Linked DNA regions of Neodiprion lecontei. The protein of the gene in region 2 interacts with the protein of the main gene of each other region in a pairwise test. Links are inferred from orthologs where the notes say so. Each region holds a gene or a part of one and is shown on either strand. Other genes may lie near its edges. The genes, in order: PRA1 family protein 3 and WD repeat and FYVE domain-containing protein 2.

Region 1 (3,934 bases), on a different chromosome or scaffold from region 2:
AAAAATGTTTATTTGGCATTTAAAGCGTATACGTTCATAGTTTTGCCGATAAAATAAATAGGAATGATTGACGCTGGGTTGGATAATTTTTTTCGTTATGAACGACGCGTCAGCTATCCGAGAGACGGGTGTAGCCACCGCGTTTAAATGAGAAACCCTTCGCACTATCGGCAACGAACTCATGTAGCTCTTGCTTGATCCTCGACTTCGGTATTCCGACGGTCTGCATAGGGTATCCTGGAACGTGAAATCCCGAGTTAAAGATTTTCTTTGAACCCGGTGCTACTCGTCAAAAGAGGACACATTCAGAGAAAACGTTCGGAGAAAAAAATTCGAAAACTTTGAGTCTTATGGAAATCTCTAATTGTCTATTTCACTTCCTGTCACCAGTAATCTCGAATGATTCTAACGATAACAATGGCGAAGAATATCGAGGAATAAAACGGAATGTGCATCAGCATTTTTGGCGATTTTCACTTCATCGACTGAACAATGATCGAAAACAATACGATAGGCTTGATCTTTTACTATCGTAAATTTATTTCAGGCAAAGATATTGTATATATATTTTGCATATATACATACGTATATACAAACTGTAGCCTCAGTCATAAGCTTACAGAAAAATCAAAGGATTGTGAGCTCAGCTCGTTGTTAGATTTTCTGACATAGCAATTCATCTGCGGAATAATTAGATAGTTTTGGACATTGCTGATTTAGTAATATTAAACACGCAATATTTTATGTGAGTTTACTAAACACTAATATACATATATATACCTATACATACAATAAACAAATTTAAAAAAAAAAACGTAAAAAACAATGACACCGAAAAGTCTCTAAATAAATTCTGTCTTTTTTTAAGGCAATAATGTTAAAAACGCCTCAATAACTGTTTGTATATATCTACATATCTATGTTATACGATTATATAAAAATATTATCGTTCACTCATGATCACGAAAAAAATAAACAATATTTTCCATCGAGAACAGAACAAAGAAATTCAGTAAGAATCAACTATCGTCTTGTTAAATTCGGAAAATTGTGGTTTCTATCATAACGTATCCTCGCTCCTCACTTATTTTCCGAATAAACTACAGCGTTCTATTACGCGTAAAGAAGCTAGGCAAAGCGGGGTAACGATGTCTCGCGTTACAAATTACGCCGTATAGATAATTCTAGATTGAAATAAATTAGTTCACAGCTCATTGTTGGATTCTTTGACAGCTGAAATAGCTTTTTTTTTTATCAAAGATTTAAGCGCGAGTGAAATCACGAGCAGTATAAGTATTTAATACGACCGTATATTTATATATTCATTTAAATCACGAAGAAAAATTCATTGAAAAGTTATCATAGGGGCATTCCAAAATCCAACGCCTATTAGGACTTGCACGTTACCCTAATTTAAGGAAACAACTTAGTGAACGTAGTCTGACGATTGTTAATATCGCCATCAGTATTCAATCAGGCAAAGATTTCTTGCTCTATACCGAGCTGTTCCAAAAATATGCTCATCGGGGTGCGTTTTAGTCCTAATTCCTCCATCTTGTTCACTAGCTTGTTCCTGATGTTTCGTAGTCTCATCGATGCGTGAATAAAAGTCACTAAAAACAAAGGAAGTGAGAATTACACTCCTGATCTAGAGACAATATTGCACAAGGCAAAGAGTTTAAAAACATATTCTACTTACCAGAGAAAGGGAGAAGAATACCGATCAGAAATACGAGGAGGGAACCAACTGTGTACGCAAGAAAACTACTTCCAATAAGAATCAAAATAACACCCAGAGCAGGATAATCTTTTTTTGTCTGGTGAATGGCTCGGCCCTCGCACGATGCATAGGCAAACAGTCCGAGAGCAACGCTCATTGATACAGCACCGACCAACATTTTCACAGGATGAATCAGCCTACAAAAAAAAGTGTATGTTACATATGCTTGGAATACAAATGTATATAAATAGTAAATGGATAAGGCTGGAACCAAATAATGAAAAACGCATCGTCAGTTATACATTCCAAATCTAGAAAAGATGAAACTCGTCGAATATCAACATTTTCGGTGTTTTCAAAGTTTAGACACAGCTATTAATAGATCATGAATAACAAATTCGTATCGATGTATGATATATGGGAAGTATAACAATAAGAACGTGATCTCACCCGACAATAAGAAAAATGATGACGGACATAAAGAAGTAGTTGGTTTGGTAGTAAAATAGATTGTTGACAACTCGGTTTCCCCATTTGTCCAGATCCTTGAAATTCGGTATTTGGAACCGGGCCGATTCCAGTAGGAAATCGTCGAGACCCCGTAGGGGAGGAATGACGAGTTCGGAGTTTCCTATACCCACAATCTTTGACCGCTCCATATTCGACGGAGGATCGAACTGCCTCGATTTAGGTAATTCTTGCTTTCAATATTTCGTTGTAATTTCAATATCTTGAAAAACTTTTATTTTTTCGCCGAACGTCGCAGCGAATATTCGTCACCGTTGACCGCAAATGAAAGGATAGGTCACTAACGTCACGTATCTGCAGTTCCTGAACTGCTGCAATCTAAATAAAACAATCACGAACAAAGAAGATACCTTAGAAAGGAAGCCACGGAGGATGAACTGCAAAATCGGGACTTGATACATATTAAGATTTTTTTATATCAAGTTTTATTCTTAGCTAAAAGATGTCGCCACCATATTTTGCTAATCTGTCGAAAGCAGCGCGAATATTTGATACTTAAACTGTAATAAAATTTACATAAGCAAATAATGAGATACATAAGGATAATTTTTGGTTTGCAAGTCCCTGGTATTAAAAGTCTTTTTCGCAATTCTGGATCGAGTTGAGGAGAACGCCCGTTTATACTTTTAAACTCCTAGATTTCCAGGATCACAGTTGCTCTAAATAAAAAATATCCGAGTAAGCGACGATAATTTTTTATATGCCAAAATAAAATATATTGAAAGTATGAAGTGCGTATGAAAGTTGGAAAAATTGTCAAGGTAATATAAGAATGTAAATATTTATTGAACGCCCATCATCCCGCCAGTAGTAATAACGTATAGGTATGAAAAATATACAAATTAATCAGTCAAATTTTCAACTTGACTCACCATTCAGCCCACAAAACACGTTATTTACATGATTATAATACATCTGTCAACTACCATCTATTGTAACGGTAATAATATGTTAATAATTTGTTTCACATAATTTTTTTGCCTTATATTACGAAAGTCATTTTGTACGAAAAAATCCGAGCAGACAAAAAGTGACGCATCACATCTGTTGAATATTCTGTACTATATCGATAAATTCTAGCAGTTGACAACAGGAATTAGTAAGAAGGAATAACAGTATTTGACCCATGAATAATCAACCTTGGAATTATAAATGCATATCGTTTTAAAATATAAACAATTTCTATATTTTTTCACTATTGTGAAATTTCATGGCCTACCAGAGCATGCCCAGAGCAATTTTGCGTTTGCTAAAATATTGAAAATATCTAAACACTATTCATTATTACTAAATAACTAGTTGGGAAGATTAAATTGAAGTACTTGGTAGGAAAAAAATCATCTAAATTGATGTAACGATACAATTGTGATGTTAAAATTGTATTGAAAACTATAGCTTAGCTCTGTTAGCGTCGAGCAGTGTCTTCAACTTTTGTGTTAACATGATGTTTCCCTTAATCTTCAATTTACCACGCATGAAAGCCACTTGTGGATTCAATTTACCAAGTGCCTGGAAATAGTGGGAAAAAAATCGTTTAAGAATCATTGATTTGCAATACTTCTTCAAATATACTTACAATTTCAACCATATCTTTATCTTCAATGGTTAAACTTGTATCAGACTTTCCAGATTTCGGTTCTCCTTTATAAACTTCAGCTTTCTTTAAATCAAGGGCTGAAAGAACGA
Region 2 (3,934 bases):
GGAATTTCAAATATTTCACAGAATTTCAGTGATTTCATAATCTTTGTGATCTGCATAATTTGGTTTGACAAAAAATACATACTGATGCCCCTGAAGTTCGTACGCAGTGCCTTGGCAACCTCCGATGTCCCAAACAATAACACTTTGGTCAAAGCTCCCAGAAAATAACAGATCTTTTTCAGAATTCCAGGCGAGCGTGCGGATACTTCCTGTATGACCTTTCAGAGTGGTGATTAGAGTAGCACCAGTGCTCTCCAATTTGAGCATCGATATCTGTCCCGAATAATCTCCGACAAAAGCATGTTTGGTCAATGATGCAAATCTGTGATTACGTCAAGGTTTTTGCATCAGATCTTCGAGCACTGCCGATCAAATTTATTTTAATCGATTCGCGTGTTCTTTATAATCAAAAAATCAATGCAAAAGGATACTGCAATGCCGTGAACCAAGCATCTGTTTGAAAAGAACCAAGCCTATGTCCGGTTTCTGAGCAGTGAAATTGAAAAAGCTTATCTCGGCCGATACTGAGTACCCATTCACAATTCAAAGCGAATATAATTCCAGTAACTCGACCTTGATGAGAAAGGCACTCTCTCATTGGAGTCATGCGGTTGTAGTCAGTTTCCAATATAAAATCCTTTGAAGAATATGAACAATTCATTCCCAAACTTGGGATTCCAGGGAATAAACAACACAAGACAATCCTGGTATTCAAGGTATTTTCACGTAGTTGATAAATAAATTCTTTTAAAGAATTTCAGTTCTGTTCTATTTTGTGAGTATAAATCACTTTAGAAACAATGTTTCACCATAATTTTAAGGACTGTAATAAGCGACACAAGGATATCGATTAAAGTATTAAATATCTGAGGTTTTTCTTTTGAATTTCATTCTTCTTCATGAAAATACCATGAAATTTAAGCGTCAGAACTAATTCAATATTTTCTGGAAGATAAACTGATTGGACAGTTTAGTTGAGAAAACTTTTATAGAGTTCATATTGTTTGTGGAATTCAATTACATACGTTAATAGCTCCGTTTTCTAAGCCGACAAAAAGCTGTCTCGTTTCTGCGCAATAATGCATTGCCGTTGCAGCAGCACCCATGTATTGGCATACGCTGGGCCAATATTGCCCTGAATCGCGTTTTAGCCATACTCTGACGGTCCTGCACAGAAATCGAAAATTAGGAAAAATAATTACATCCAATAAACAATATTTTTGAATGAAAAAGGACATCAATGGAATTGCTATAGAAGAATATTATTCAATTTAGAGACAAAAATAAAATTGGTGTTCAAAATAAAAATTGACAAAGTAACGATTATTTAGCTGTAATTAAATTCAATGAATTGAAATTCTTTTGGATTATGTGAGTCGAAAAAAGCTTTACATTAATTCTTATTGTTATATTAAATGGTGTTTAGTTATTTTTTTTTTCATGCAAGGCAATTGTCATTGTAAAACGATGATTTTCACTCAGGATTGCCGTATATTAAGGTAGCTCCTGGTAAGACACAAAACATGAGAAAAAAAATTTACAACAAAGATTTATAACAATTTGTAAACAAAGTTGAAGAGTATGTTTTTTCATACACTAAAATTACAGAACAGAATATCAACCTAAGAGGGAAAAAAAGGATGGAAAATCGAGTTTTGGACACAAGGAAGAATTGCTTTGAAAGGCTTTGTTGGCAAAATAAAGGTATTTCTTAACCACAGAATTTGATCAAAAACAAGCGGTGTATTCTCAAGTTTGTGATGATTCAAAATATAGTAACAAATCATCGGGTTACTAGTTTCCTTAATAAGCTATGCAAGATTAAAAGTAATTTTTCTGTGATTAGTCAGAGGTTAGGATGTCCATATTTTCAAATTCGGCAGAGCCGTAACGCGCCAGTAGACGAACAAAGGTCTCATGTAGCCAGTTATTTATACGAGTAATTTAGTCACCAGCGTTATTTCATGATTTGATCATTATTATTGAACAAACAGGGACGTATTTGACATGACGCTATTTAGGGACACAAAAAATACGGTCGTACGCGACTCAACTATTTGCCTTTAATGAACTGGTCGAACGCGCAAATGTCTCTACCCTAACAATATTTGTATGTGGCAACTCGAGAAAACGTAAGTAAGAATGTGAAAAGGCTGAAGTACAGATAAAGTCGAATTTTTCTTGATACATTCGAAATACGAATAATGTAGATCAAGACTGGAAAGACTCGAATCTTCACTTACAAGATTTTCGATTATACAGTGCGGAAGCAGATTGAACTGTACAGTACAATGCGGAATAATTAATGCGTAATATTTGGGGTTGAAGGGGCATACCTGTCATCGCAAATACTGATAACACCGTCTTCTCGGGGTATGATTATCGCCCCATTCACGTCGTCATTACAACCTTCTAGCTTCGATAATAGAATTGGTTTTCGAGTCGTACTAAATCTTTCGTTGTTTACACCCGGTGCTGGTTTAATTTCAGCTGCCATTTCAATTTTTTTAATGTCGTAACCTCGCCTGTATGATTATCATTTGACAGTTGTCAGACTTCGACAGTTCCTACAATCGCGGATTTAAGAATATCTTAAGACCTTCAAGCCTGCCGATGGTTCGTAAAATGAATCAGTACGCTGGTTTAGTTGGCAGCACTTCCAATAATGTTCCCTTTCTTACTCCATGAAGCATGTAGTATTTTGATGCTGTACCCTCAGAGCATTCTAAGGCTGTACCCCAGGGAGACTAGAGTAAAAAGGAGACCCATCTCTAATGGAGGAGCATGCGAAAAATTTGTCCTCGAAAATTTGTCGTTTAGTGGTTTTAGATTTCATTAAGAACAGCGCTGTCATTGTAATATTCCGAGGTGAAGTTGATAAGAATTGACTATATACATACATCGATCGTGACTAAAATGAAATTACTTCTGTCTTTTCACCATTCGTTGGATATTTGCGATTTCAGTGCTGTTCAGCGTCAGCCAGCGCAAACCTTAGTGTATGGATTTTTGATGCCGGATCAAATGTATGTACAGAGATGGGACTTCTTTAGCCTAGTCTCCATGCTGTATCCGCTGTATCTCACTCCTAGAGAATTTTCCGTGTTATCAGCTATTTTCGGCATTTCAGAATACCATATTCGCCTAGTGACATTTTGTTTGATTACCAATTTACGCGCCAAATTTTGATAACCGATATTTGAGATTTAGTTTCTTTACAACACATATTCTAATCTAATAATTCTGTTCGCCACGCCGGCGTGATGAGCTGCATCATAGTTGGCCTCGTAATAAAAACCGAGATGATTACGTACAATGGCAATTATAAGTCTGATTAGGTATGTTACAATCTGCAGTGACGGTGATGTAATCTTTAGCGTTTGATCTACTATTATGAGCGCAAAAAAAGTTAAAGAACTGGAATCTACGTTCTCAGCCAGCAACACAAAACGGAGTAGAATATTCGACGATATTTCATGCTCCAGTCATGGATCCACTAATTGGGCTTCAATTTTAAGTTGCTGCCGAAGACATAAGCGGGAGAGAAGGTTGACTTTGAAGGAATATAACCCAAACGAATGCGATTACATTGTTGAGAAACTTGTAATTAAAAGAGTACCTCTGTCATTGTATGCAACGGCAGAAGATTATCAGGAATTCGTCGACGAAAAAAATCATAAAGAAGTAACACATGCTCCCTTAGCTGGTAAAGAGATGAGAGAAAAGCAAGTCTATTCAGCAATGACAGAAGTGGGATCATCGTTATACTTCCTGAAAAACAAAGTACGAGGCGATTTGTCAAATAGACCATCGAACAAAAATTTGAGATTTAACAGAGATGAAGACCTGTTGGATGAGGACACTTTGCAGGCTGGTCCCTCAAATTACTTCGGAAACGTGTCTTCGCGAATTAGAAAAGAAGAAGAGAATGATT

Evidence for each region.
Region 1: the proteins of WD repeat and FYVE domain-containing protein 2 (region 2) and PRA1 family protein 3 interact in a two-hybrid assay, tested with the Caenorhabditis elegans proteins (2 studies listed by BioGRID). The link is inferred for Neodiprion lecontei from reciprocal best matches to the Caenorhabditis elegans genes wdfy-2 and praf-3.

The regions. Positions count from the first base shown.
Region 1 is NC_060264.1:30,500,275-30,504,208, forward strand, and holds the start of PRA1 family protein 3, read right to left. Parts: upstream 2,596-3,934; 5' UTR 2,380-2,595; coding exon 2,171-2,379; intron 1,918-2,170; coding exon 1,700-1,917; intron 1,614-1,699; coding exon 1,500-1,613; intron 238-1,499; coding exon 110-237; 3' UTR 1-109. Other genes in the region: peroxisomal multifunctional enzyme type 2, read right to left, coding at 3,638-3,757, 3,825-3,922.
Region 2 is NC_060261.1:12,356,461-12,360,394, forward strand, and holds the start of WD repeat and FYVE domain-containing protein 2, read right to left. Parts: upstream 2,629-3,934; 5' UTR 2,498-2,628; coding exon 2,337-2,497; intron 2,277-2,336; exon of another isoform or gene 2,244-2,276; intron 2,068-2,243; exon of another isoform or gene 1,953-2,067; intron 1,168-1,952; coding exon 1,026-1,167; intron 638-1,025; coding exon 432-637; intron 323-431; coding exon 83-322; intron 1-82. UniProt on the Caenorhabditis elegans protein: Plays a role in coelomocyte endocytosis.